4 linked regions of the Alligator mississippiensis genome follow. The protein of the gene in region 1 interacts with the protein of each later gene in a pairwise test. Links are inferred from orthologs where the notes say so. Each region holds a gene or a part of one and is shown on either strand. Other genes may lie near its edges.

Region 1 (7,805 bases):
CACTGCAGGACTGCACCTAAATCAACATCTGAAAAATAGCTTGTAAAGACTACTGGTATAACTTACATACCTTCTGCATTTATACTCAATTCTGTTGAGTTTTCTTCTGCTGTTGCATACGGATTATTCCCAACCATTGGCACAAGGCAATCAGTGTAGAAGTAACCCACTTTAGGCATGTCAAGTGTAGAAATAACCAAGTCTATCGCTAGTTGGCCAACATTTCCCACTGATACAGATGGCTGAAACAACACAAGATACTTAGTGTCAAACTAACAGATTTGTAGTTTACCTAGTAAGTTACAGTAAAGTTCATCCATAAAATGTGATGGTGTGAGAAAGACCAAAATTAAGTTACTTAAATCCTCAGACTAGTTAGACTTATCACACTTCTAAGAGAAGCATTTCATGTTTTGACAGACACGTAATTTGTTGAACAGCCTGGCTAGCCTACTAATACAAACTTTGGCTTTGATCCTGCAAATATATATTAAAATTTACTTCTTCAAGTATCCCTACTTCCATAGAAAATTAAGTACAGGACTGAGGGTTCAGGGGTTTTTTTTCTCCACGGGTGACAAAGTTACTAAAACTCAGTGCAGAAGCTGTCAGTACCTAAAGTGACACCTAACGGTTATTTTGATATTACACACTTAATATGTAAATAAAACTATGGTATTTTAATTGAAGTAACTTTAAAAGTACTATTCAGATTAACAAGTAAAATCCCCTCAACTTTGACCTAATTACGACCTAATTAACTCTCCTCCCATCCAGTATTTTAAAATTGGATATGAAAACCTGAGGCATTATTCTACGTATCTCAAAACACACATTTGTTCACATTTTGTTTCTATACTAACCGATATGTAACGTAGGATTTGTAATTCGGCACTGTATATCCTTTATCTCCAAAATAAATGGGATGCTGGTTAGTATATCAGGCAAGTAAAAAATTACTATAATAATTAATTCAAAAATCACCTTTTTGCTAATGATGAAAGCATCAGGGGAGACTCCACCTGAGCTGTGGTGTCAACAGCTTTGGAAAGTATGCCTAACAAGTTTTCTTCTTCTTTAAAAAAAGGAATACATTATACTCACTGGGACTTACTAGCAACTTGGAGGGGGGTAAAGAAGGGAAGCCACATTTTTCCTTAAAGTAGCACATGTATTATGTGCCCCAGTCCTATATAGCTATACAATGCTCTACTCTGCTCAACTCTACTCTCATCCAAGTCACAGAACTAAGTTCAAGTGTATCTTGCTGGAACCAGCAAGATACACTGAAGTGAAAAGTTACCAGTGTCCTGCCACCTCACATCCAATTTATAATAAAATGAAAGAATTTATGGAAAAAAATGTCACCCCTCTCTGTGTCCACATGGCTGATGCAGCTGGTGGTGCCACGGATACAGTCAGTTTACCTTCACATCATTTGGGCCCTCTCTGGGAGGAATCCCTATGGCAGTGATTTCTCAGTAAGGGTGCTTTGATATACTTTCAAGGGTACTGTGGGGTACCAAGGCAATGTTAGTTTTGTTAGGTATGCACACATAATTCAAAAGATAAACCCAGAGATTTGAAATAGGAATTCATGGTGTTAAAAAGATTCTGGCCTGTTGCGGTCTTTCCGAGTGCTTTGCAACAGAAGAATTGCTCTATTATTTGGCCATGGTCAAAAAATTAGTGAAAAATAAGAAGTAGCATTTTCCAAGGTGTGCTCCAAGTCTATCAAAGGGTGCCACAAGCATAAAAAGTTGAGAACCACTGCCCTATGGCTATGCAAAAGGAGAATGCACTTTCATTTAAAACTGAGCCAGGTCCTGACTGTTTTAGTTTATGGTGAAGTAGGGGTGGATCGGGGATGTGCATTTGTGCAGCAGTACACTTGCACCCCCCTCCACTCAAAATTGAAAACCAGTGGCAGAGGGAGAAGTGGCATTTCTATTCAGGTGGTGCTTATGGAGTAACCGTTTGTTATAATCTACCTGATCACCCCAGCTCACCTCCCTTCACTCCACAGGTGAGAACGACCCTCTCTTTTTTTAACCATCTCGACCTTCTACTAATCAAGTTATCCTTTCTTCCATAATTTAGCAGGTCTGTTAGCCATTCCTGGTAATGCTGCTCTTCAATTCCATGGCCCTACAGACTGTTTGTAGCTGCAGCCTAAAAAACCTTAACTCAGGCATAGAAATGACTGACAGCAGCATTGGCGGCATGGTCAAGATTCTCAAGAAGGCAAGATTCTGTTTTAGGTATCCCAATGAGACGTACCTGTAAACTACACCTGTGGGACTAATGCCACACTATCTTCCCCCCCCCCCCACACTTGACATCTAATCTAGCAGATACCTGCAATTCCAGACAAGTTACATTTTGCTTTCACTTTGATCTCAAAATGGGAAAAGCCAGGGATGGATCCAGAGGGAGAATGCCGATGCACTTGCACCCCCTCTGATGTCTGCTCCACCCAACCAGCTGCCTGGCAGTGGTAACATTTCTATCAGGGCATGCCCAGGGAATTCATTTGACTTTGTGGCTCACCGTCATCTACCTGATCCCTTCTCAGCTGTTCATTTCACAAGTGTTAATGACCCTCTCTTCTTTTTAATTGTCTTGCTCTTTCCCTGCTCCAGCTCTCTTTTGTGCTGCCATTCTGTTGTCTTTTGGCTGCTCCTGCTAACAAAGCTCCTATTCCACAGCCCTGTGGTCTGCTTTTCCCTTATTGCAATGCATTTCTAATTGTTTTTCCTTCCATCTTAAACGGAGATCATCCACCCCCAGATCCCTAGCAGCTTGGTAAAATTTTTGTTTGTTTTTAACTAGAGAAAAAAAAATGTTCGGCTAGACAGGAGGGCGCCCCTACCATCTGCACCTTCCTAAAATTGTGGGGTTGCCCATAAGGAAGGCAATCAAGGGGGGGGGGTGCATGTGTGTGGCGCCGGGGGGGGGGGGGGGGGGGGGGGCTGGGTCCCACCTGGGAGCAAAGCTTCTAGCTCAAAGATTGGCAACCTCCAGCACATGTGCCAGAGCACGGCACATAAGGCCATCTTCCCCACCACGCTACAGCCAGCCTGCCACCAGCCAGAGCCCAGGTTGCCCGTGGCAGGTGACCAGGAGGCTGCAAGCAACCCAGGCTCTGGCCAGAGGCTGGGCCGGCTGCAGCTAGGAGGCTATAAATAGCTGTGCTGCTCTTCATGGCCCCAGCACCAGCTCTGCGGCTGCATGTGCAGCTCCAGCACACAGCTGAGAAGGGACCTGAGGGCACTGCAAGCCTGGCCCCAGCCCCTGCTGTCCACCCAGAAGCACACATGCAGCTGCTTCTGCCACAGAGCCAGTGCTGGGTGCTGCAGACTCTTGCACAGCTATTTGCAGTGTGCCTGCCACATGCTGCAGCTGCCCAGAGACCAAGCTGGCTGTGGCAGGCAGCTAGGAAGCTGCAAACTCCTGCACTGTGTTCCCCGACCCAGCTTTGTGGAGGTGGCAGCTATGTGTACACCTTGGGATGGACAGCAGGTGAGGGACCAGGGTTGTGCTGCCCCCCAAACCTCTTCCCAGCTGCGCACCCAGAGCCAGTTGCACAGCCGTCACCACGGAGTCAATACCAGGACTGCAGTGTTTTAGTTACTCCAGCCAAAAACGTTGCCAACCCCTGTTCTAGTTTCTCTTGAAGTGCACCAAAACGGCCTTGTGTGGGCTGTGAGGATGCCCCTGCCCCGCTTCCACATCCTAGACCCCCTTGGCAGTGCCTTGCCCCGCAAGGTAGACAGCAAGGCGCTCCGCTGCCGTCACGCCCAGAACGCTGGTACCTCCTGCGCCAACTGCCGCCCCGTGCGGGGCATGTCCCACCTCCCCTCCCCCCAGGGCCCCGCACAACCGGGGGGAAAGGCCGCGGGCAGCCCCGGCGCGGGGACTGGGGGTCGTTACCATAAGCAGCGTGAAGCCTTTGAAGTCGCGGCGCGCCGCGGTGCTGCACGGCACGAACATGACAGGCGGCGCGGGGGCCCAGGGCCGGGCGGGGCCTGCCTCCACTGCGGGGGCCTTCCACTTCCCGGCGCCTTAGGCGTCGTGGATGGTGCCTGTCCCCACCCTGCTCCCTGCAGGGGCCGCGCGGCTGCCGGAGCCCCCGAGCGGGCTGAGCCGGGGATACCAGTCCCGGGTGGCAGCGGGGACCCTCCGTCAGGCAGCTGGGCGGGCAGCCTCCCGTCCTGGCCGGGCAGTTGGAGACGGCGGTTGGGGGCTTGCAGGGGGTGTGGCCGCACGGGGGAGGGGAGGGCTCAGTTACGGCGGCTGCCAGCGGCTCGGTGAGGCGGGTGCGGGTTTATGCTATGGCTTTGCCGCCGGACAAGGCTTCGGAGCTGAAGCAGATCATCCGGCAGCAGCTCGCCAAGGTGCCCTGGGGGTGCGGGTGGCGGGGGCATGGGGCTGCAGGTCCCGGTTGGCTCTGAACGCGCTCCGGGCACCTAAATGTGAAATAATCGTATTGCAAGCTCATAGATTCATAGATGTTAGGGTCGGAAGGAACCTCAATAGATCATCGAGTCCGACCCCCTGCCCTGGGCAGGGAAGTGTGCTAGGTTCAGATGACCCCAGCCAGATGCCTATCTAATCTCCTCTTGAAGACCCCCAGGGTAGGGGAGAGCACCACCTCCCCTGGGAGCCCGTTCCTGATTTTGGCCACTCTGACTGTGAAGAAGTTCTTCCTAATGCCTAGTCTAAATCTGCTCTCTGCTAGTTTATGGCCATTATTTCTTGTAACCCCCAGGGGCGCCTTGGTGAGTAAAGCCTCACCAATTCCCTTCTGTGCCCCCATGATAAGCCACAAGGTGGCCTCTCAACCTTCTCTTGCGGAGGCTGAAGAGGTCCAGGTGCTCTCCAAATGATCGTATTTGCTGGTCCATGTGCCCTCGAAATGATCGTATTTGCTGAAAAGCTATCGTACACGGAAATAGATGCAAATATTTCTTATTATTTATTTTCTATTACTTGTTATAAGGTGCCAGTGGGTGAGTGAGTGAGCAAGACCTGGGTCATCCAAGTGGAAGCATTTCTTTATTTCGAGGCAAGCAGTTGTAAGAAAGTGCTGGCGGCAAACCCAAAAGTCAGTTAAGACTCTCTGGGAGCGACTTGGGTTTTGCATGTGCTGCATCAGCGAGCTGCCCCAAAAATAGTTGTATGTTTTGAACACTTTTACAGATTGTTCTGTCGCAGAAGGGTTGAAACTATTGTACGAATACAATAATTATTGTACACTTGGCCACGCTGCGCTCTTGTCTCAGGCCCCACGAGGTGGTGGGCAGCTGTGCCTGAGCTGTCGGAAGCAGAGGGGCCACGTGGAGGAGTCCGTGAAGAGCCAGAGTAAGGATCCCTCTGGCCACCTGCACCGTCCGGCCTCCTTCAAAGCGCTTGGAGGGCTGGCAAGGGCCTCCAGAGGTCCTAGTGCAGCCCCAACCTGAGGCAGGCCACTCCCTATCCAAACTGACCTGGACAAACCATCATCTAAACCCCACAGGAGGATGCCCTCAGCCCTGGCACAGCACAGTAGGCCTAGCATCCTTGCCTGCCTCAGGCAAGGTAGCCAGAGTCGTGCTTCTCCAAGGTGTTCTCAGTATGCGCTCCATTGAGTGTTTTGTTTATTTTTGGTGGTATGAGTGGTTTTGGCTGTGCACCTGCTGCCAGATGAGCTCCCTTCTACCTTCCACTTGATAAGGATGTTAAAGGTAACAGCAAGGCCCTGGCCTGTGTAACGGATGGGGCTACTCTGGTTTCCTCTGCCCCAGGAAAGCAGCAAGGACCAATTCCTTCCACATTTGTGACAGCGGATGCTTCATTTTTACTGCATTCCTGTTTCACTGCAGTTTATTCTTAGGGGGTTTTAATCTTTTTAATCTCCCAGCATGCCTCTTTGAACCATGTAGCTTGAGGACAGGGGTGCTCAACCTGCAGTCTAGGCAGCCATGGTATTCGGCCTGTGGGGCTCCCCGCTGGTCAGGAATTTGGGTGGCAGGAGAGCACGGCCACCCTCCATTACTGCCAAATTCCCAAACCCTGCAGATCTGCATTAGGGCTCAGCTGCACCCCCTTTCCCCCCCATGGGGCTGCATCCGGGCAAGCCCCCTTTCTCCCCTTCAAGGGCTGGACTCCTCCCCTGCGTGAGTGGATGGGGCCTGACTGCATTCATCCTGGATTGGGTCCACCAGCTGCATATGGCCCACAGATAAACAAGGCTCTACCCAGCCAGCCACCTGGGCAAAAAGGTTGAGCACCACTGCTCTATGGTATTAGATGGTTATTGAGGGTTATAACTTATTTGATTAATGTAGGAATGCTATAATGCTATCCTAACAAGCATTGGATAGCAGGTCATAGAAGTTTTTCTCTTCTAGATGGACGTCCATGGAAGGATCCGAGAAGTTCTTGCTGAGACTATACGTGACGAGATAGCGCCCGAGCATCAGCAGTTATCCACAGATGATCTGATGAAAGCTCTGAGACGAAGAGGAATCATTGATGACGTTATGAAAGAACTTAAAGTTGTAACTGTGAGTACATTTTGAAAAGGGAAATATTTATACTTTGTTCATCTTGGCATTGTTAAAATTCTTTCAATAGGCAGTGAAAACTCATTTCAGCCCAGTGTCGCTTATGTTGGCTTTATTGATTTCTGGTATATTGTTGACAAATTAGTAGAGATGCACCAATTAGACATTTTGGGGGCCAATACAGATAGCCAATTTTTAAGGAGGCATATTGGCCGTTACCGATCCGATTTCCGGTGTAGTTGAGTCCAGCTGGTAAGTCTGTGATGAAAAGGGAGGAGAGGGGGGCAGATCAACACCCCCCATGGTGAGGGAAGGAGTGGGGCTGTGGCTGGGGTAGGCATGTGGTAGGCACGGTACTGAGCTGCAGCTCATCCGGGGAGGGGTGGGGCATGGCTCTCGCTGCTGTACACTGCTCATCCAGCAGTTCATCCAGTGGCTCCTGCTGCTTGTCAGGGTGGCGGGTGACTTGTGAGTGTGCCCCTGGATCTGCACAGGGCAGGGTGGGCTGCAGCTGCGAGCTGGGGCTGAGCAGTTGAAGCAGTGATGGAATGAGCTGCCGGATGAGTGGTGCACAGCAGTGGAAGCTGGCCCCTCCCCCCGCACCTCTGGATGAGCCACGGCTCTGTCCCATGCTCACCCCGGCTGGGCGGCACCTACTCTCACCTGAGGGCGTGTAGGTCTACACTCCTTCACCTCAGGGGCCATAGGTCTGCCCACCCATGCCACTTCCCTCCTCCCTCCCTTTCCACCACACCAGATTTAACAGCTGGATGCAGCTGTCCAAGCTGTTGGGCTCATGCTGCTCACTGCCTGCATGCTGTGCTGCGGCTGTGCCCACGCACGAGCAATTATTAGCCACTTCAGGCTGATTTCCAATTTTCTTTATATCAGTGCCGATCTGATATTGGACCAATGTATTGGTGCACCTCTACAAATTAGTTTAACTTTTATTGTAAAGTCAATGCTGAACTAGTAAGTCCAATTACTGGAAGGGTGGTGGTTGAAACATTGTGTGGTAGGATGGCAGAGAAGTGTGGGATTTTCAGGTTTCGGAAACTGCCAAGGATCTTTAAGAAGTAACGTTTCTTAACTTAGCTCCTTAAAAATGTTTAACTATCGTTCCAGGATATGAATGACCAAGAAGTGACCTTAGATCCCAAGCCATCTACCCATTTTGTTGACAGACAGCTGCCAGTACTGAAGAAAAGTATGTTTTCGTAAATTTTAGTATTTGGATCATAGTTCTGTGAGATCTGA
Region 2 (7,668 bases), on another chromosome or scaffold:
TTTAAAATAAAATTAAAATATATTATTGTCAATATTTGATTTTTAGTATATAATGTTTTATTTTCCCCATTCCAAGATGGCAACCCCCCTTCCCAAAAGGAGTACTTCTAGGGGGAAGAGGAGCAACTTTTGGTGGCAAAGGTCAGGGGTTAGGGGGTGGGACATTTGGTCCCAAGATGGCAACCTGGGGGCACTTGTCAAGGGGTGAGGCCATTCTTCTGGCTCTGGACAGCTCACCAAAACTCATTAAGTGGCCCAGCAGCCAAAATAATTGTCCCCCGCTCCGACCTAACTCTTAACTGTTTAAGCAGCCAGGGACTGAATGTCCTGTGGGCCCCACCACTGGGGGCCACAAACCCATGAGTCACATCAAGGTAAGACACAGGCTCCCTGGACTGCACACTGTATTGATACCCCCACCATTGCATGTCTGTGCAGGTCCTGGAGGATAGAGGGGGAGGCTGGAGACTTTGGCTGTTGTTGCAGCTGGAAAGATGGGGCATGGTGGCTGAGCAGGAGCCTGGGGGTCTGCTTAACCTCTTGCAGGCCACATGCAGCCCATGACCTGCCAGTTGGACAGCCCTGGGTTAACCTTAGGAAGATCAGATCATTTGGGTCTATTGTGAAAAAGAGATTGAAGTGACTTAACTCTAAAAGCAGGTACTTAGGGTCTGAAGCCTCCAAATAAATTTTATGTAGCAGAAGGGAAAATCTAGGATCATTCTAAAGACAAGGTTAGGCCTTGTCTATACTATAGGGCTTCTCCTGTTGTAATTATGGTACCCTGATGTAAATGCAGTTCTGCTGGCTTTTTAAAAGTACAAATACTTTCTTTAGGTAAGAAAATATTCCTCTTGTATCTGCTTACCACATAATGCTAGGAGGTTCATGACCCAAAGGAAACTGTGCAGTCACAGCAGAAGCATTATTGTGGGTGTGTCTACACATGCAATTAATGCCAAGCAATAAACTCTGGTGCCATGCTATTTGAATGTGCACCCAGGCCTGCAGCATATTGAGCTGGATCAGAGCAGCCCCAGCTGGCAGGGAGCCCTGGGGGTTAGCTTGCCAACCTAGGGCTGCTCCCTGCTGGCTCAACATGCTGTGGGGGGGCTGCCTGGGGCAAGAGGGTGCTCCAGTGTGGAGCCAGCTGGCATGCAGCACCCACACTGAAGCACCCTTGTGCCCCAGCCAACTGCAGCAATGTCACACACTCACACACTGCTATAGAGTGAAAAACTCCATAGCAGGATAGTACTTGTAAATACAAGTACTGTCCTGCTGCAGAGTAAATTAGTTTATTGCAGCCTAATAGGGGCTCATGTGTAGATGCATGATGTTTACTGTGGAGCTAATTAATATACTCTTCAGTAAATGTCTTGTGTAGACATGCCCTGTTAGTGGTAAGCAAGGTGGTTAACTGCATTACTTTGAAGTCAGGCAGAAGGTAGGGCAGCGTGACACCTTACAGAGAGACCGTTCAGAGATACCATGTAAGCTCATGACTCTGAATTGGCCGATCTAAAGTAGTGGTTCCTACTTTCTTTAGATGGAAGGCACCCACCCATCAGAAAAATGGCAACTCTTAGCTTTAATCTATGTCTTGACTACAGAATAACAATAGAGGAATTATTTTGTTGCAAAGAACTACAGAAGAACAAAATGTTTTTTGCACTATGAATTCCTGTTTGATATCTCAAGAGTTTATCTTGGGAATCGTGTATGCACCACACAGGACACCTAAAAGGATCTGAAGGCACCCTATTTGAGACTCACTGTAGTAAGGTGCCACCCTGTCCTGCCCTCTGCTTGCCAATGGTAAGGGGGGAGGCACAGGCATGTTGATTCTAGAAGACTGCTCAAAGGAAGATGGAAGTTGAAAGCAGGAGCATCCATTCTTTGCACCACAGTGGAGATTGTAGCTAGTTGTTGTATACAGTCCTTCTACCAGTCTGAAGGTGGGGGTGGTTGCCTTTTTTGGAAAGTTATATTGAGCTACTATACCTAAGTTTCAGTAGCCTCCTGTTTTGGGCAGTTAGGCCTGGGGAGAAGCTCTGGGGGAGTTGTAGCACAACTCCTGTTTGAATGCTGCAGTAGGTGAAAATGGTAGTGTAAGTGATGTCACTAAGATGATCCAGAAATTATGCTAAAGGCAAGGATTTCTTAGTGTGATCTCTTGTTATTGGACTAACTGTATTCCAACTCTATGGTTGGTCCCAGGGGCAGACTGGGGGGGCAGGGTGTGCTTTGATTCCTGGTCCACCCAAAGTTTAAAACCAACTGCCCGCAGCAGCAGCAGCACTTCTTCTATTCAGGCAGCAGCGGGAGTCACTTGATTTCATGGCTCATTATAATCTATCTTTTAAACTAGGGGTGGGCGATTATTTTGGCCTGGGGGCCACATACATAAATTTTGATGAGTTGTGGTGGACCCAGTCAGCACCCCTGCCCCTACAACTCACCAAAAGTCCCTATGTGGGCCATGGGCAGGCAGGGAGCTGTTTGGGAGTGGGATGAGTGGGTGAGGCCAGGACCATGGGATGGGGGTGTGGGATGGTGACAGTGTGGGACTGAGGCCCAGGGCAGAGCCATGATCTGCTCCTTGCATGCCCCAGACCTGTGTGTGTGGGGGGGAGGGTAGGTGTGTGTGGGGGGGTGCGTGCACCTGTGTGTGGTGAGGGGGAAAGCTTTTTGGGAGCTAGATCCTGGGAGCTGGCTGGTGGGCGGGGGATGAGGAAGGGCATGGGATAGATGCAGCAGAGCTTGCCTGGGCAGTATGGTCTGTGGCTGCCCTCATGGCACTCTGCATGGGGCTGAACCCTGCCCAGGGCAGCCTGCACAGTGCTCCAGACTGTGCCCACTAGTGCAGCCCTGGCCAGAGTGCACAGCTTGCTGGGGCCTGCAGCTGCCTGGGTGCAGCTTGGCTCCCCTCACCTCCAGCTGCAGCTCTTCCTCCTACACTGACTGCACTGCTCCAGGTGGGGAGGAAGCTTCAGCCAGGCAGCTCCTGCCCCAGCATGCAGGGATCCGGCTGACTTCCACCCACTCCACCCGACTGAAGCTTGCTTCCTGCTCGGGGCAGCACAGCAATAGGAGGAGCCACTGCTAGAGGCTGAGCAGCACCCATGTGGCTGTAGCCACATCTGGATTAGCCCTGTGGGAAGCTGCGCATGCTGGCCTGGCCTGGGGCTGGAGTGAAGCACAGGCTGGCCCAGTCACAGCTCAGCCCCATCTGGAGCACCACAGGGGCAGCCACAGGCTGGGTCCAATCAGTTGGCATGTTGGATCTGGCCTGCGGCCCATATTTTACCTCCCCATTCTAAATCCTTCACTCCACAGGGGTTAGTGACCCTTTATTAGCCATCTTAATAGTCCACAAAGCAAGCTACCCTTTCATCTGCAATTCTGTCATCTCTAGCTGCTCCTGGTAGTGTAGCTACTACTTCATAGCACTGTGGACGGCTTGGACTCTACCTAAAAACAGTAGCTCAGGTATGGAAACATGAATTCAGGAGAACATTAACTCAGGCATGGAAATAACGTTCAGTTGAAGCACCAGATGCACCATCAAGATGCTCATAAAGGCTTGATTTTGTTTTATGGCTCTGAGATACTTTTAATTCTTAATGACTACAAGACTAAAGAAACAACATCTTCTGATTATTTCCGCTGAGCTTTTTAATATATAATATGTGACACAGCAAATGAATGCACGTCAGTGAAGTTAGGTTTGTTTTTGCTTTCATCTTAACCTGGAATAATACAGCCCCAGGCCCCTAGGATATCAATAACACTTCTAGCTTCTTCCCCTTACCTGGGGAAAAAAGTGTTGTGTTGTGCTTATATGTGACAATACACCACACCATCTGCCCATCTCCCTCAACCCCCTTTTGCCCCATTTCAAAATCCGAGATTCCCCGAAGCAGGAACGGACCCAATACAAGATTTCACCCCAAGGCATCCTGGCCACCCTGTACCCCAAAATAAAAGTGAACTCCTTGCCCTAACCGCCTATTTGGAAATGCCTTTTCTTTTTTTAAGCCACCCCATCAAACCCAAACCTGGCACTGTAGAGGCAGAGGTGGCCAACAGGCAACCTGGGTGGCAGCCTGCTATGGGTCAGGAGCCAGAGAGGGGTGGGGGCAGGGAGTAAAAAGCTGAGCAGCAGACTGGGCAGGCAGCAGAGACAGCAGGCAGCAGGAAGTGGAGCAGTGGATCACACTGGGAAGGGAAAGCAGAACAGCATACTGGGCAGGCAGCATGTCAGGACAGGGACACCAGATCACTAAACGCACCCCGGGGTGAAAGGCGCGGAAGCCGGTCCCGGGTGCGGGGCGGCCCTTCTGGCCCCTGTGCCGCGCCGTAGCGGAGCTGGGCGGGGTGGGGCGGGACATGCTGCTGCCGCTGCGGCTGTTCCTGGCGCGACGGGGGGCGCTGCTCCGGCTCTTCCCGCTCTGGGCCCCGGGCCCGCGGGCGCCGCCGTGCAGTGGGGGTGGGGCGCTGCGGGAGGCCGGCCGCGTGCTGGGCCCGGCCCGAGCCATGGCGCTGCCGCGGGAGGAGCCACCTTCGCCGCCGCCGTCGCAGGGTGAGGAGAGGAGAGGGTGGGGAGGGTAACTCCCAAGGCGCATGCGCAGGCGGAGGGGCGGAGCCCCATGACATCACCGCCCTAGGGGGCTGGAGGGAAGGCTCCGCCCCCGGGTCCCACCGCCGCATATCGGAGGCTGTTCTGCCTGGAGACCGCACGTGGGCGTGTCTCCCGGTCTGTCTGCTCGGCTCGTCTGCCACCGTAGAGATCGGTCTGGCTGTGCCTGCCCTGCCCACCCCCGATCTGCCCAAGTGTCTGTCTGTCTGTCTGTCGCCTACCCGACTACAGAGCAATGTCTCTGCCTACCAGAGAGTCCGTGTGGATCTAGCAAACGAGAGCTGTAGCGATCCAGCTGCTGACCCACCTGCCTGCCAGACTATCCATCGAGCGGTCTGTCTGTCCATCTGCTTTATCTGCCTGCCAAAGTATAGCTCGGCCTGTCTGTCTGTCAACCGAAATATGTTTGTATGTGTCTGGTGATCTGTCTGTCTACTGATCTACCTATCTACCAACCAAAGTGTCCTCTGACCTACCTACCATCCAGCCCAAGTGCTGCTTCGTCAATTAGTTGTTCTGTCTGTCTGCCATCTGCCAAAGTATAGATCAGCCTGTCTGTCTACCAAAGCACCGCTGTCCCTGTTTACCAAAGTATAGTTATATTTATCTAATAAGCCTGCCTACCAATCAAAGTATAGATCTGCCTACCTACATACCTGCATATCTAAGTCTGTCTAAATATAGAGCTATCTGTCTATCTACCTACCGAAGTATGGGTATAACTATCTATCAAAAGATCGATCAATGGATCAATCTACCGACTAAAGTATAGATATGTCCATATGAGTGTATGTGTATGTGTGTGTATTTTAACTGTTACTTTATGAAATCAAATTGTGGCAATACTAAAAGTGTGTGTCTATATCAGACACTTTTAGTATTGTCACAATTTGATTTCATAAAGTAACAGTTAAAAGAGAGAGAGAAAACTTTGTTATGATCTGCCCTTGCCAGTAATGCCTTAATGCCTAAAGTGAAGTTAATGCTTAAATAATAAAAAGTTCTACCACTGGCTATGAGAACTGATGTGGGATCCAGGCCCCCAAGTAGTAGGAAAGGAGATGACAAGCACTTGAAAAGTAGAAGAGTTGTGATTAGCTAAAGCAGTGGTGCTCAATCTACTTTGGTTAGTAGATACCGAAGTGGTTATAGCTATATATGTGTATGTATATGTATATGGTTAGAGCTATAGCTATAACCACTTTGGTATCTACTAACCAAAGTAGGTGCAGATCTTTCTCTCTCTAAAAAAGAGAGATACTGAAGTAGACATAAGTATAGGCATAGATATAGATCTATACCATACTTACCCAGATCCAAGACAATCCTGAATTTAAGACAGTCCTCCACCAATAATTAGATTCTAGACATAGAAAATGTGTTACTTTGTTATAATTTTTCCATGTATAGAATCTTATTAGTGGAGCGTCATCTTAATTTTGTCCTCAGCACCACTGCAGTGGGCAAAGCAGTCAGGCGGTGGCAGATGGTAAGTGGGGACCAGGGTGTATAGAGCCAGCGGGGGCAGACAGCAGCCATGGCTGTGGTCCCAACAGAGAATCACAGCAGCTGCCTAGCCCCGGTGTCCTGCCCCCTTGTAATGGGTTCCAAGACAAGGGCCTTTCCCCCCTTCTCCCATATTAAATGGTATGGGGGGAACCTTGTCTTCGAATCAAATAAATACAGTAGGTGTAGATATAGATTAGTATATAAGGTTAGTCTATAAGGTGCAAATCTATCTTGCCTTCTATTTGACTTCAGACTAACACATTAAACTACGTGGTCTCTTGCCCCATCCTTATTAACAAATTGAGGTCTGGGTGAGCGGAGGGAACTGAATAACTAACTCCTGCCTGTTTTAAGTCTGCCTTACCTCTCCAGAAACACTTTTATTCTCATAAATTTTGTGTCAGATATGATTATGATAGATTATAAAACATATTGTTTTATCATTAAGGAATTAATTGCATTTTTATGTCCTTGATTTTTGGTTTGTGCTGCCATCAGGTTTTTGATTTGTGCTGCCATTTGGTTTGTGTCACCATTGTGTCAAACAAAGGAGGACTAAGGAGGTCTAGCCTACTTGATGACAAGGTACAGGTATTTTTGGGCAGTGTCTGTACATGAGTTTTCAAAGCAGTAAACTTGTTTCCTAAACTTGGAATACTCTGTCAAAGGACATTATCATTACCACTGTACTGATTCTTTCCATTACTAGCTTCCCTGTGATAACTGAAAGAGATTTGAAGAATGCAAAACCCATTTCCATTAATAAAAATATGGGAGCATTTTAAATATAATGTAAATGTGTGTTAACATTTTGAAGTTCTGGCTAATGCTAATTAAGAAACAGTATTTACATTACAACAGCTTTGGACAAGGCTTTCGTTTGCCAGAGTAGTGTTCCCTCTTACCTACCTATCAAACTAATTTAAAATGTCCATTTACATTGTTGCTAAATGTTAAGACTTGAAAGCAGAGATTTTTTTCTTCCCTTAACATTAATGCTTAGAATTGATTTTGTATTACTCTGCCAATTTCTTTAAGTGCTAACCAACCCATTATAATAAATGATAAGGAGGGATTTGTGTACTTGGAATTCAACCTGTAGGATTTAGAGAAAGCCCTTGTGCTTGCGGACAAGCCAACTGCTTATTTATTGAAAAGGCACTTTGTCAAGAGTCCTGTTCCTCTGCTCTGACCGGCTCTTATTGTGACAGGCAGAATTTTTCAAAGTGGCATTTGTCTCTCAATACACTTCTTATTCGATGGAGCAAAGGGAGGACATAACATAGGGTTCACAGACATACATACAGCCCTTAGTATTAGGACTGACTATATGTGGGCAGATCTCTTGTGTCTACGTGGAGCCACATTGATTTCAGAGGGGCCCCCACAGGCATCAGTTGCAGGACTGTGACGTAAGGAACCCAAACCAGTTACTTTTTGGTTGCTTCACTGGAAATCTACGTAGGATTCACATTTTAACAGTCAGTATTGTGGAACTGGAGTGAGTGAAAATGTTT
Region 3 (7,705 bases), on another chromosome or scaffold:
ACATGTAGTGTCTCCCTGTCCGTGTGTGTACACACTCATGCTCACACACAAACATATATATCACACACACAAAGCAAAAGGGCAAGCAGCTTCAGAGTCAGTGTTTAAGTACATACCTAACTTAGAAGCATCTTTGATCTGCTCTTTAATTTTCAGTGCCTCTTCTTCAGTCAGGTCGCCTTTTTTCAGCACTACCACTTGTGGGCGCTCATCCTCTTTGTCACTACCACTCTCATCATCTTCCTCAGGGACCGGAAGCTGCTCTCTCTACATGAGAGAAACAAAAGCAACTCTGATGACCATGCCAAACCAAAGTTCCTAAGCAAACAGTACTGGGAAGATCAGTCTCTGGTTCAACTTTTGTAGCAAGCTCAAGATGGAAAGACATAGGGACAGTGTCAAGCCTTCCCAACATGCAATACTCAAATGGCACAAAGCTACAGTCAAATCTTATGCTAGAAGAGCTGATGCCCATCTTTTTAGTGGCTAGAAAGCAGCAGATGCTTGTATACATGAACACAGCTGGAACTGCTGCTGTTTAAGACAAGGTATATATTCCACTTATTTGACATTTATACGTAGACTGATGTCCAATCAGAAATCTGTGGTTCAGACACACTAGAGAAGCTTCAGAAAACATTAGGAAAAGGATTGAAGTTCACCATCACAAGGACACTACAAAGGTAACTTAAACCAAGAACCAAGGTTTCTCCAGTTATCCCAGAGCAGCCTTGTACCCTTTAATACGGTGCTTAAGCAGCTAGACCAGCCCTTAGGGGCCACTGCAGCCAAATGTAAGCTGATGCAGCACTTGCTCAAGCAGTTCTCAACCTTCTTAGGCTCAAGGCACCCATTGGAAAATGCTAGGGCTTTGTTTTCACTTGGGTTTTCTTTGACTCCTGAAACATAATAGAGCTATTCTTCTTTGGCAAAGAGTTTAGGAAGATTCTCCTCCCTCCCTCTTTCCCAAGATTGGGATGATTTAAACACAAAAGGATTCCTGGGGGAAATCTAGAGGTTTCTCTTGCAAATCGTACTTGCACCCCTAACAGTGCTAGCCTTGCGTGATGCCCCATGACACTCTTGAAAGGACAAGGCAACCTCCTTGGTGTCACAACCAAATTAAGTAGTGCCCATGTCACAAACAAGTAATAACCATTTAAAACAGTTTTTTCTGCACTAGGTTAACTAAGGGTTAACAATAATGATAGTAACCACTTTTTTCTGCGCATGTCAAAAAGAAATTTATTGCTGCGCCACTAACAGAGATAAAAACTTTTGCCTTCTTTGCTTTATATAAATCATTATAATTGGTCAAAGAAAACAAGGAGTAACCCTGTAAAAATAACACCCTAGCAAAGACCGCTAGATAATTGGCGATTCTAATTAGATTTATGACATGGCGAAAAACAATTGGCTATCATACAAACAAAACCCACTTACATTTTTCGCAAAGTCGAAGACAACTCTGCACACACCTTGGAGTAAATCTGACAATTTGATCAGTTGTCAGCGTCTTCCTGCCACGACCTCCCTGGCGTACCCTTGCCCCGCATGCCCGATAAGCCGACCGCCGGCCCGTATATATATATCTGCAGAACGACGATCTCTAAGCTCTAACTAAGTATCTCTGACCTCCGTCTTACACCACCTTGACGTGAGTAAACAATCTTGCTTTCCAACAGATAAGCGTCCGCCTAATTAATTCCACTCCAAGCATCACAGATACCCGCCTGACGGCCTTCTAAGGCCCCGGACCCTTATCTGCCCAGGTGAGAGTCAGGGAGAGCTGCTGACCGGCTGCCCTGGGTCCCGACACTTGGAAGCGCTGCTTTAACTTATGTGAGAGGCTGAAGTTTTGTCCTTTGCCAGCCCCTATGCAAGGGGCGTGACACTAATGGCTCAGTCCCACATTAAACCATTGAAACTGGACAGCAACCACGTAGAAAGCTGTTACACCATTTCAAGCACTAGTCTGGGGGCCGGCTTCATACACATTAGGGCTGGAAGGGACCCCGGAAGATCATCAAGTCAAGCCCCCTGTCCCAGGGGCAGGAAGTCAGCTGGGGTCATATCACACCCAGGAAGATAACTGTCCAAACGGTTCTTAAGAGTCCATAGTAAGCAGACTCCCACCACCTCTGGAGGGAGTCTATTCCAGGCCTTGGGGGCTCGGTTGGCTCTTTTTAAAGCTCTATGGACCTTTATAGGGCACAACAAGGACTTAGCAAAGACAGCCACTCTACATTTATCGTACAATGACCCATGAACTGCATAATATATGTAGTGGGGGGGGGGGCCTCAGAGCATTCTGCTAGCCTCTTCTCCTTGCTGCCTGCCAACCCGCTGCAGGGAGCCTGGATGCCAGTGTTGCCAGGTCTTAAATATGAAATTATCATATTTTCTGAAAAACTATCATACACTGAAAAAAAAAAGTAGACAAATAAGTCTTATTTACTTGATCTTGATCACTGCCAGCCACCAGTGAGTGAGTGAGAATTGGGTTAAACTTAAAGCATTTCTTTATTTTGAGGTGAGTACTCACAAAAAAACCCGCCAACAGCAAACCCAGATGTCAGTTAAGACTCTCTCAGAGCGACCTTGGTTTTGCATAGGCCGCAACAATGAGCTGCCTCAAAAATTATGGTGCATTTTGCAGGGGTTTGGGTTGTGGCTGTGTTGGTCTAAGGACGTAGGCAGACAAGGTTCCTTGGGTGAATTTGATATCTTTTATAAGACCAACGCAAATGGTTGGAGAATAGTTATTAAGCAAGTTTTCGGGTTCAAAAACCCTTCCTCAGGCTAAGGAAGCTTCAGCAGTTGGTGTGTGGAAGAGCACACACCAACTGCTGAAACCTCCTTAGCCTGACGAAGGGTTTTTGAACCCAAAAGCTTGCTTAATAACTATTCTCCAACCATTTGCGTTGGTCTTATAAAAGATATCAAATTCACCCAAGGAACCTTGTCTGGTGCATTTTGAACACTTTTACTATTATCGATAGTACATCATACCAGGGTTGAAATTAAAGTGCAAATACAATACTTATCATACAGCGGGCAACACTGCAGGCTGCACGGAGGTAGCTGGGCCCTGCCCACCGCCCCTGGGGGGACCTGACACACCTCACACTAAGGGCGCGAAGCGAACGTGGCCATGGAGAGCAGTGCCCCCGCGCTCAGGGGCGGGGCTTTAACGTCACTGCCTTGATGGGGGAGGGTACGGTGACATCACGCAGGCCTCGCGGCGGGCCGTTACCTTGGTGTCAACCGTGGGCCCCTCGCGGTACCCGACCTCCTTCTTGAAGCGGCTGAGGAAGGCGGGCTCGGCCGGCGGCACATAGGACACCTGGTCCCGCTTGCTCATGGCCGCCGCCGCCTCTCGAGGGAACGGCCCGCGCGCCGCAGCACCGACGACGCACTTCCGCCAGGAGAGGGGCGGGGCGGACAGAGGCCAGGGTGGACAGCCCCGCATCACGTGACGAAGGCCGCTTCCCCGCGGCGGCTTCCTGGCTGAACACTACTTCCGCTTTTCCTGGCGCTAAGCGCCAAATTTGAACCTGCCGCCATCTTGAGCGGCGGTGTTGCGCCGGGCGCGGGCACCATGGCGCCCGGGACCAAAGGTGACGGCGGAGCGGAGCGGGTCGGGTCGGGGTGGGGGCTGCCCGCGCCTTGGCAGCGACCCCGCGGGGGGAGGCTTGGCGGGTCCCGTCACTTCCTGGGGGGCGGCTCCAGCAAAGGGAGGAGGTGAGAGCGGGCCGGCGGGCACTGTCCTCGGCGGGAAGCAGCTGCGTCGCGGTTTGCCCAGGCTCAGTCCCCCCGCGTCAGCCGTGCAGGAAAGGAAGGACCGGGCCAGTTCAGCGACTCGCCGCCCCGTTAGCGACCAACCCCCTCATCCACTTCGACTGGGTTTCTAGTTCCTTGTGCGTCGGGGGCCGGCGAGCGGGATGTACCGTCCATCCCATCTGATCCATATGGGTTACACCTGTATACGTGCCTATGCATGTGCGTCTGCATGTAGATATAAATGTGTGTGTGTGTGTGTGTGTGTGTGTAGGTATAAGCCAGAGAGAGAGAGAACTAATTTTCTAGTTCACACACATGCTCCCTAATTATTTTCTTAGCACTATCAATTGCACATATGTGTGCATATACATTTCCAAACTGTCAATTGTGTGTATACACACACGCTTATAATTAATAATTAGTAATTAATTTTCTATCAATTGGGTGTGCATATGTATATACACACACTAATTTTCTATCACTTACATGCATTCATTATATACACATATTCCTGGTTTCCCTGACAGTCTTTTCTCTGATGCCTGATGAAGGGTGTTTGTGCCCAAAAGCAATTAAAGACTTTTAATTGCAATTAAAAGATTTTTTTTAATTAAAGACTTTTTTTTTCTAAAAATCTTGCTTGGCTAATAAAAGATATCCCCTCTGTCCATGAACCTTGATTGATTTCCCTGACTGCATTTTTCATTCTTGTGTTTTCACCATTTCACTATTGCATTTTTCAGTGTAATTTGCAGTTTTGATGCAGCACGTTTGAAAGTTGCATTGGCTTTTTTTGTAAGTTTATAGCATAGTATGCTGCTTCAGTGTCCTCAAGTAAATCAAGAGATATCAGGTGCAGTGTGTCTGGGACTCTTTCATTGGGAAGCAGGTTGATGTAGTAGAGATGATAATTTTCAATCTTAAGCCTCTCCCTCACACTGTTAGCAAGTCCTGCTGTTGAAGCCAAAGTACAGACTCAAGCTCGCTGTGTGCTAGGGGAGGCCTTACAGATATTTGTTATGGAGCATTTAACCATGGTTGAATAGATGGTAGCTTGCTTTGGCATCCTTTCATCTACTGGAGACAGTGAATATTGTAGCCCATGATGTAGATGGTTTGCAGTGTCTCATGTGACTGAATAGTTTAATCAGCATGATCTGTGGCAGTGATTACAAATGCATATGTTATGGTTGGGCTGTTCAGGAGCTGCATGCTTCCTATGGGCTTTTTTCTCTTCAAGCTGTTGGAGTCAATTTCTGTTGTGAACTTAATGGAGATGATGATGCCACTTGTTATGATCCCCTGCCAAGGTTTCCTATTGGTCAGGATCAATTACAAATGCCTTCGTATTAGGGGTGCACCAATAGAGATTTTTTGGGTCGGTACCGATGGCTGATTTTTAAGGAGCTATATTGGCCAAACCAATCTGATTCCAATATAGAGCCGGGCAGCTTGGAGACCAGCATCGGGCTGATTAAGTCTGGTGTGGGGGAAGGGGCATGGTGGGGTGCAGATCAAGGCCCGCACAGCGAGGGAGGGAGTGGGGCATGGGCAGGCATTGCTCATCTGGGGCGGAGCATGGGATGGAGCTGTAAGCGGCTTTTCCGGGGGGGAGGACAGCTCCTGCTGCTGCACATACCCTAGGAGGGCATGGGGGACATGTGCCCCCAGATCTGTGCATGGGGCGAGGGTGGGCTGCAGCCAGGACCTGTGCTGGGTACTTCCCGGCAAAGGGGCTGGGCTGGGCACGGGGGGAGGAGGGGGGTTGTTGTGGCTAGAGCCCCAGTGCCACCTCACGCACAGATCTGGGGGCACCCATGCCCTCCCAGGGTGCATGTAGTGGCAGGCCCCCCCGCTGGATGAGAGGCTCGCGGATCCATCCTGTGTCCCTCCCTGGCTGAGCAGCGCCTGCTGCTGCCCCACTACCTCACTGCAGGGGGCCTCAGTCTGACTCCCCACCCCTGCCTCCACACCGTACCAGCTCTATGCCGGCCTCTGAGCCACCGGGCTGTGCTCCTGGCCACATACATGCTGCAGCTGTACACCTGCACAGAGCATTTATTGGCCACATAGGGCAAAAAAGCCGATTTCTGATGCTGTCAATTTTCCCTATCTTGGTGTTGATTCAATATTGGACTGATGTATCAGTGCACCTCTACTTCATATCTCACTTGTATGTGTCTTTGTAGCAAAACTTGGGATGTCCTGTTGTTCTTGTTCCTCTCGATAGTTCCCCGTATAGCACGTCCGTGGCTATGCATCCATCTTCTGATCTGCTTAGATGGCTTAGGCAGCTCAGTTATCAGTGTCTGAGTAGGGCTCTCATGCTTAGTAAACTTGCCCTTTGAAGAACCTCTGCAGTGGTAAGTTTTTATCTTGCCATTTGATGTTGAGTATGTGGCATAAACAGCACAGGTGGAAGCAGTTTAACTTTTTCTCTTGATGTGCATAAGCTATCCATGTTTCCCCACCATACATGAGAGTGCTGAGTTTGCAAGCTTTGTACACTAGCATTTTGGTCTTGATGGTAAGCTTTGAGTTGTTCTGTGCTCTTCTAGTCTGATGAAGGTGGTGGCAGTCTTTCTGATATGAACACTAAGTTCTGATATGAACACTAAGTTCTTCATCCAGTGCAAGGTTAGTAGTCACTAAAACCTAGGTAGCTGAACTTTTGGGCTACTGCTAGCTGGTTCTCTTTAAGGAGGATTGATGGATCTTGTGGAACTCCCTGTCCTAGTACAATTGTTTTCATTATGCTGATGGTGAGAGTAAAGATGGTAGAAGTTTGGATATTTCATAGAGTTCATCTTAGTTTTTTTTACAGTGCTCAAGTAAAAGTATTTCGGCTGCTTCGCTGTTATGCAATGAAATTTCTTTTGGCTAATATGTGTCAAAACTTAATGTTCTGTGATATCTACCTGTTATGGTTTAAAGCTTTTTAAAACTCCATTATGTGGGAATCTGTAACCATAGCTAAAAATCTGTGGCCTGATGCAAACATGCACATAACTTAATGCACTTGAGCAGCCCCACTGAATTCAATAGGGTTGCACCATTCATAGAGTTAAACATATGCAAGTGTTTGCCTTGAAAGTTTAGTGCTTCCACTAGATATGCCAGAAGCACTAAACCAGATATCTAGCAAAGGAATATGGTAGATGAAATTTTTTTGCTACTTCCTATTATTGCCAGTTACAATGTAAAACATGTTTAAATGGTTTTGTAAGTATGCAAATGTCTTTCTTTTTTCTCTCTCCCAATATAATTTGGAATATTTTCTCCTAATCCTTTACTGATAGCTACAAATGGTTTTCCTGTGAAGTTTTATGAGCGTTGTTCCCCTTTTGTTTTACAGGAGATGTGCGCAATCCAGCATTACCTTCGTCAAATTCACTTAAGTAACTATCTGTTTGCTATTTGTTTTATGATGCATTTTAAACTGTATTCTGTTTGGCAAAGTGATTTTTGAGGGTTTAGAGTTTCTAAATGTTGTGGTGGAATAGAAATTTGTCTTCTCATGAACTGCTGCTACAGTGGTAGGATATTGACCTGTGCTCTTGCATTTTCTGTCATTTTCTAATGACATGTTTTAGGGTTTTATAGTTGTGAATTTGGTGGCTGTCATGGGTGGGAGCCAGAATGAATGATCTTGTGGATTCTCTTGTAAAACAAATTGTCCGTAAACACGTGTATACCCAACTTTGAGACTGTCATCTTAGATGACTGCAGAATACCTGGTAGCCTGTTTTTTATATTGCCATACATTGAGCTTTTAGAAAAACCATCTTAATGTGGGCCAAGAAATGGTCATGTGTTTGTGTTTGGACTAATTTTAACTAGTAGGTCCTTCTGTTAATTAAGTGGGTTGAATTATAGGTACTGGATCACAGCCATGATCTGTGTACTCCAGTGTCCTGTTTCC
Region 4 (6,518 bases), on another chromosome or scaffold:
ACCTCTCCTGGGTGGACGTCCAGCCCGGGGGCGGGGACGGGAAGAGCAGCTGGTGCTCAGGGGCCGCCCTGGGCCCGTCCTTCTGGATCAGCGCCCTGTCCTCGCCCTGCGTCCGCTCCCACGTCACCGCCGTGTCTGCACGGATCTTCCCCTCCACGGAGCAGCGCAGAGTCACCTCCTGGCCCAGCCGGCACCGCTCCGGCCCCTCCACCTTGGACACGGAGCAAGCGGCTTTCCTGCCTGGGGTGGGAGCAACACACAGGACACAGGGTCACCTTGGGACGGTCCTGGAGACACGTCCGGCCTGCGCTGGGGCTGCGGGGTGTGGGTCCCCGGGAGCAGGAGGGTAAAGCCTGCCCTGCTCCAGGGGCCCGTCTGTGCCCCGCAGCGTGCCCCTGCCCGAGACCCTGTCGCCGTCCCCCCTCCCCTCTGCTCCCCCCGGCGCCGTGCCCGTACCTCTCCTCTGCCGCCAGCAGTAACTGGCCGCGCCCGCAGCTCCTAGTGCGAGCACGATGGCCACAACGGCCCCAATCGCAGCTCCGGTGCGGTCCGAGCCTGCAGCAGGGACGGGGTGGGAGGGAAAGTTGGCACACAGCCTTGCTCCAGCACTCACCCTGTAGCACTGTCTGGCCTCGCTGCCAGGCTGTTTTGGGCACTCACCTGGGACATCCAGGGCGAACTCCTCGACCAGGGGCTGCCCCAGCACCGGGTGTCGGACGCGGCAGGTGAAGACGGCGCCAGCGTCGCTCCGGACTGGGGTGAAGGTGTAGGTCAGGGTGAGGTTGAAGGTCCCGTCCTGGTTCCTCTGGGGGCTGGAGCGGGTGGAGCCATTCAGGACCTGCTCATCTCTCAGCAACGTGGCCTCCATGTCCTCGGGGAAGAAGCCACCCACGTGGCACAGGAGGGACGTCTCTGCGCCACCCACGCGCTGGTCCAGGGAGATCCTCGGGGCTGCTGCAGGGGCCGGAGCCCGTGAGGGGAGCACCACCAGCCCCCAATTCCCGGAGCCGTCCCGCACCACACACCCACACCCACCGCCGCCCTGGCCATAGAGCAGTGCCCAGGCCTGGGTCCCAAGGGTCCTTACCGAGCACCCAGAGGGTCGTCTTGCCCAGCTGCGTCTCTGTGCCGTACGCCACCTCGCAGGTGTAGGTCCCGTTGTCCTGCACCGCCACATCCTGCACCTCCAGGGAGGCGTTCCCGATCTGCAGCTCCTGCTCGGACAGGCGCAGCCGTGGCTCAAAGGTCCCCTGGCCCCGGTCATACTGTGCCACGGGGCCCGCAGCGGCGGAGAGCCAGCGCACCCGCAGCACTGCTGGGTCTATGGGCCTGCCCACGTTGAAGCGGCACTTGAGGAGCGCCACCGAGCCCAGCGCTGCCCGGGTCTCCGGCGCCGTGTACAGCGTCAGCATGGCCCCTGCCGAGGAGAGCACACGCGCCATGGGGGCTGCACGGCCCACGGCTCCCAGCACCACGCCCCACCGGCCACGGTAGTCTGGCAGCCCCGGTGCTACACGCGAAGGAAGGGGGCCAGAAGCACAGGCCACGAGCACAGCCCCGCAGGATCTGCCACCCTCCACCAGCGCCGGGGCTGAGCACAGTGCGGGGCTGCCCACAGCAGGGCCCACGACTCCCTCTGACCACGGCACCCACTGCCACCCCTGCCAACTGCTGGCACAGCACCCGGGCTCTCGGGCCCACGGCCACACCCAGTGCCCTGCCCCATCTGGGAGCCCCGGGGTGCCCCACACTTACCCGCTGCCCCCAGGAAGAGGGGGTGGAGCAGGGGCAGGAGGAGGGGAGCCCCCAGCCCCATGGACCCGCCGCCTGCGTGGCTCTGCTGCACCCCGCTTCCCGTGTCCAGGCTCTTCCAGGCGGGGAAAAACAGGTTTTGCTTTCGCTTTCCCCGACATCCAAAGGGCAGAGTGGGAATTGCTGCACTTCGACGCGGCCACCTCCTGCGGGAGCGGCGGGCCAGGCCCCCGGCCCTCCTGTCGGCCCCAGAGCCGGCCGCCGCGGCCCCGCTACACCCGCCTCCTGGCGTGCGCAGCCCGGGCTGCCCATCCTCCTCCCCAGGCGCCGGCCGGCCCGCTCTCGCTGCCCCTTTAAGGGCCGGGTGCCAGGGGATGGCGCCAGGGGGAGGAGAGGGGCAGGGGCTGCGGCGCGCGGACGGACAGACACAGGTGCGGGGCAGCCCGAGCGAGAGCTGCCATGGAGGGGCCGTAAGTGCCACGCACACCCCGCGGTGCTGGGGGGGGGCGCACCCGGCAGGGCGAGCCCCCTCATTCCCGGCCCCTGCCCGTGCAGGCGCGGGCCGCCCCGCGTGGAGGCGTACCGGGCGGGCATGGTGCTGAGCGGCGCGGGCGACGCGCTGGGCTACCGCGGCTCGCTCTGGGAGTACTGCCCCTCGGGGCCGCAGATCCAGGCCGAGCTGGCGGCGCTGGGCGGGCTGGCGGCGCTGCGTGTGGCGCCCCCCGACTGGCCCGTCAGCGACGACACGGTGCTGCACCTGGCCACCGCCGAGGCCCTGGCCACCGGTGAGGCAGGCGCGGGCGCGGGGCAGGGCGGGGCAGCGCCCGGGGCCCCGCTCACCCGCGCCCCTGCTCTGCGCAGGGCTGTCGGGGGACGCGCTGCTGCAGGAGCTGGCGCGGCGCTACGTGGAGGCGATGGGTGACATGGAGGGGCGCAAGCCGGGGCCCACCAGCATCCTCGGTACGGGGCGGGGCGGGGCGGCGCGGGGCGGCGCGGGGCGGGGCAACCCAGCCGCCCCCCCCCCCCCCCCCCGGGCACTGCGCCTCACCCCTGTCCTGCATGTGTCCCTCGCAGGGACGTCCCAGTTGCGCCCGGGGCAGCCGGGGGGGCACCGCATCCCCTTCAACCCGACGGGCACCGGCTGCGGGGCCGCCATGCGCGCCATGGCCATCGGCCTCAGGTGGGTGCAGGGGCGGGAGGCAGGCGGGGCCCGGCTGGGCTGTGACCGCCACCTGCCCCGACAGGTACCCGCGCCCCACGGACCTGCCGCACCTGATCCGGGTCAGCGTGGAGAGCGGCCGCATGACGCACCACCACCCCACGGGTACGGGGCCGGGCGGGGCCGGGGCCCGGTGGGGGGGCCGCCTGGCCACCCCCGGCCCTGACCCCGCCGTGCTGCGGCAGGGTACCTGGGCGCGCTGGCGGCGGCACTGCTCACGGCGCTGGCGGTGCAGGGCGTGCCCCCGGAGCAGTGGGGCGCCCGCCTGCTGCAGACCTTGCCCCTGGCGCAGGCCTACGTGCGGGACGCGGGCGGCGACGTGGCCCCCAACATGGAGGCCTGGGCGGACTTCCCCGAGCGCTGGGCCCGGTGAGTGAGGGCGCGCGGACCGGGGGGGCAGCCGGGGCCCCTCTCACCCTCCCGCTGCCGCCCCGCAGGTACCTGGCGGAGCGGGGCCTGGCCACGGGCAGCGGCCCGGCGCGGTTCCCCGAGCCGTACGGCCCGGCGGAGCGCGATGTGGCCTACACCGCTCTCAGCCTGGACGGCTGGGCCGGGCGCAGCGGGCACGACGCCCCCATGATCGCCTACGACGCCCTGCTCGGTGCCGGCGCCAGCTGGGACCAGCTCTGCGCCCGCGCCGCCTTCCACGGGGGTGAGTGGCGCTCGCGGCGCCCGCACGCGTCATGCACGGCTCCAGCGCACTCCCCAGAGCCAGCCGCAGCCTCGCGGGTCGTGTTACGCAGGGCCCCAGGGCACCCAGCCCCAGCGCCAGCCACAGCCGAGGGTCTCTGCTACGCATGGCCCTAGCCCGCCCCACCCCAGAGCCAGCCGCACTGCAGGAAGTCTCTGTGATGCAAAGCCACTACTGCAGCCCACCCCAGAGCCAGCCGCAGCGCTGGGAGCTCCTGGCGGCACCCACCCCACTCCAACCCAGCCGCAGCGCAGGGCCCTGTAGTGACACCCCGCCCCGTACCACCTTGTGACCCGCGCCTCTCCCGCAGGGGACAGCGACTCGACGGCCGTCATCGCGGGGTGCTGGTGGGGCGTCACCCACGGCCTGGACGGGGTGCCCCCCGGCAACCACGCGCACCTGGAGTACCGCGCCCGCATGGTGGAGGCCGCCGACCGCCTGCACGCCCTGGCCTGGGGCTCCGCGCCCGCTGCGGGCCCCTCCTGAGCTTGCCCCGGACACCGGGGTGCCCTCCTGACCCGCTGCCCCCCCCCCCCGCCCCCCGATGCCCCCAGAAGCCCGAGTCCTGTCCCCCAGCCCCTGCCCAGACGCGGGTCCTGCCAGCCCCACCAGTGTGCAATAAAGCGGTTCTGCCAGCAAGCGCCGTGCGTGGTGTGTGGGCACGCGGGACCGCGCGTGGGGGCGCCTGTCCCGAGGCATCGGGCGGGGCGAGAGGAGCCGGGCGTCCGGCGCAGTCGCCAGATGTTGGCCGGGAGCGGGGGGGCGGGGGTGGATTAGGGCGGGTTATAAGGGCCGGCGCCCGCCGCTGCCCCGCGCTGCCGCGATGGACCCGCCACTGGGCCCCGCGTGCGTCTTCCTGCGCAAGGGCATCGCCGAGAAGCACCGGGTGCGGGGGCGGGTGCGGGTGGGCCCGGGGGTGGCGGCGCGGGGTCCCGCACACCTGCCTGCCCTGACCGCCGCGCTCGGATTTTGCAGGAGCGGGAGCTGGGCGCCGACGAGATCGACGGTAAGGCCGGGCCGGGCCGGGCCGGGTCCCCGGGCTGCGCGGCGGGAGCGGCCGGGCGGGCGGGGGCGGGTGCGGGGCCGGCGGCGTGATCGCCCGGTGCCGCGCAGAGCTGCGGGAGGCCTTTGCGGAGTTCGACAAGGACAAGGACGGGCTGATCGGGGCCAAAGAGCTGGGCCAGCTCATGCGCACCATGGGCTACATGCCCACCGAGATGGAGCTCATCCAGCTCTCGCAGCACATCGCCGTGAGCCGTGAGTGCGGGCGGGCGGGCGGGCGGGCGGGCCGGGCGGGCCGGGGGCCGCGCGCCGCTCTCACGCCGTGCCCCGCGCAGTGGGCGGCCGCGTGGACTTCGAGGACTTCGTGGAGCTGATGGCGCCCAAGCTGCTGGCGGAGACGGCCGGGATGATCGGGCTGCGGGAGATGCGCGACGCCTTCAAGGAGGTCGGCGGGGGCCCGGGGGCGGGCGGCGGGGGCGGGGTGCCGGGGCGGCGGCGCTCACCCCCGCGCCGCGCCCGCAGTTCGACGCCAACGGGGACGGGGCCATCACGCTGGCGGAGCTGTCGCAGGCCATGCAGCGCCTCATGGGCGAGCGCCTCACGCCCGGCGACATCCGCGCCGTCGTCACCGAGGCCGACGTGAACGGCGACGGCACCGTGGACTTCGAGGGTGAGGAGCGCGGGGCTGCCGGTGCCCGCACGGCGGGGCGGGGGGGGCGGCGGCGGCGGCGCTGACCGCGGCCGTTTCCCTTGCAGAGTTCGTCAAGATGATGTCGAGCTGAGCCCGCCCGCTGCAGGGACGGGGCAGCCCCAGAGCCGCCGCCCCCGCCGCCCCCCGCCCCCTGCACCCCGCTCCCCCCGCACCCCCCCGCACAATAAACGTCTCCCGCGCTGACCCCGAGTCCGAGCGGCGCGCGGCTTAGCCGGGAGCGCCGGGCTTAGCGCCGCTAATCGCGGCCCGGGGGGCGGCAGATGGGCACGGCCGGGCGCGGGGGGGCTGCCGCGTTAAGCCCCACGAGCGGCGCCTGGCACGCTAAGCCCGGCGCGGGCACCGGGGCGCTCTGCCGGCAGCGTGGGAGCGCACCCCTGGGTGCTGCCCGCCCCCGCCTCTCGCCCGCCCCGCTTGGTGCGGGGGTGCGGGGGCGTCGCGCCCGTACCCGGGGCCACCACCCCCCCGCAGCGCCGCCTTGCCCCCTGTGGGGCAGCAGGGCCAGCCGGGGCCGAGCGGGGGTGGCGGGAAGGGCGGCTCTGCCCCGCGCCCCAGCCACGGCTGCGAAGGGTCCGATGGCCCGGGCCCGGGGGGGCTGGTGCAAAGGACTGTGGGTAAAAGTGGGGCGCCCCCCCCCCACTGCCCAGAGCACTCAGGGGCAGCCGGCCCCCAGCTCGCGGGCCCGGGCTGCCGGCGGGCGCCGCGGTTGCGGTTGCGGTTGCGGTTGCGGTGGCACTGACCGGCCGTGGGGGCGGACGAGGGGCAGCCCCTGCCGCGAGCCGGAGCCGGAGCCGGGCGGGGCGCTGGGGACAGACGCGGGGGTCGTGGCAGCGGGGCCAGAGCTGCCGGTGCTGCGTGGGGCAGAGGGTGCCGCGGTGCGGTGCGGTGCGGTGCGGTGCGGAGCCCCCGCTCTGCCCGCCGCCCGGCTGCTGCAGCGCTCCTCCCGCGGCCCGGCGGGCACGCTGCCCCGAGCAGTCCGGCCCACACCGGCTGGCGGGGCGCGGGAGCGGGGGGCAAGGCGGCTTCCCGCCGCGCACGGCCGGGCGCAGAGACGTGCCCCCTTAAAGGGCGCGCACACGGGGCAGACGGGTTGGAAGGGTGAACCTGCCCGTGCCCGAGCCGCATCCGCCGAAGCGTCCGGCCCC

The links.
Region 2: the proteins of CEP76 (region 1) and AKAP7 interact in a two-hybrid assay, tested with the Homo sapiens proteins (3 studies listed by BioGRID). The two-hybrid records come from large-scale screens. The link is inferred for Alligator mississippiensis from reciprocal best matches to the Homo sapiens genes CEP76 and AKAP7.
Region 3: the proteins of CEP76 (region 1) and KIAA1143 interact in binary tests that used the Homo sapiens proteins (3 or more experiments, as listed by UniProt). The two-hybrid records come from large-scale screens. The link is inferred for Alligator mississippiensis from reciprocal best matches to the Homo sapiens genes CEP76 and KIAA1143.
Region 4: the proteins of CEP76 (region 1) and CABP5 interact in binary tests that used the Homo sapiens proteins (3 or more experiments, as listed by UniProt). The link is inferred for Alligator mississippiensis from reciprocal best matches to the Homo sapiens genes CEP76 and CABP5.

The regions. Positions count from the first base shown.
Region 1 is NC_081826.1:97,848,481-97,856,285, reverse strand, and holds the start of CEP76 (centrosomal protein of 76 kDa), read left to right. Parts: upstream 1-4,283; 5' UTR 4,284-4,334; coding exon 4,335-4,397; intron 4,398-6,392; coding exon 6,393-6,548; intron 6,549-7,673; coding exon 7,674-7,755; intron 7,756-7,805. Other genes in the region: PSMG2 (proteasome assembly chaperone 2), read right to left, coding at 71-242, 3,934-3,993. UniProt on the Homo sapiens protein: Centrosomal protein involved in regulation of centriole duplication. Required to limit centriole duplication to once per cell cycle by preventing centriole reduplication.
Region 2 is NC_081824.1:113,907,796-113,915,463, forward strand, and holds the start of AKAP7 (A-kinase anchoring protein 7), read left to right. Parts: upstream 1-4,402; 5' UTR 4,403-4,539; coding exon 4,540-4,585; intron 4,586-6,649; exon of another isoform or gene 6,650-6,736; intron 6,737-6,765; exon of another isoform or gene 6,766-7,668. UniProt on the Homo sapiens protein: Probably targets cAMP-dependent protein kinase (PKA) to the cellular membrane or cytoskeletal structures.
Region 3 is NC_081828.1:136,489,193-136,496,897, forward strand, and holds the start of KIAA1143 (uncharacterized protein KIAA1143 homolog), read right to left. Parts: upstream 3,427-7,705; 5' UTR 3,365-3,426; coding exon 3,257-3,364; intron 268-3,256; coding exon 117-267; intron 1-116. Other genes in the region: kinesin-like protein KIF15, read left to right, coding at 3,602-3,620, 7,139-7,181.
Region 4 is NC_081830.1:325,260-331,777, reverse strand, and holds CABP5 (calcium-binding protein 5), read left to right. Parts: upstream 1-4,434; 5' UTR 4,435-4,485; coding exon 4,486-4,548; intron 4,549-4,637; coding exon 4,638-4,668; intron 4,669-4,775; coding exon 4,776-4,919; intron 4,920-4,999; coding exon 5,000-5,109; intron 5,110-5,186; coding exon 5,187-5,334; intron 5,335-5,420; coding exon 5,421-5,446; 3' UTR 5,447-5,552; downstream 5,553-6,518. Other genes in the region: uncharacterized protein LOC102566895, read right to left, coding at 1-240, 457-555, 661-954, 1,088-1,417, 1,756-1,816; ADP-ribosylhydrolase ARH1, read left to right, coding at 2,212-2,222, 2,308-2,537, 2,614-2,712, 2,827-3,076, 3,157-3,623, 3,973-4,148. UniProt on the Homo sapiens protein: Inhibits calcium-dependent inactivation of L-type calcium channel and shifts voltage dependence of activation to more depolarized membrane potentials. Involved in the transmission of light signals.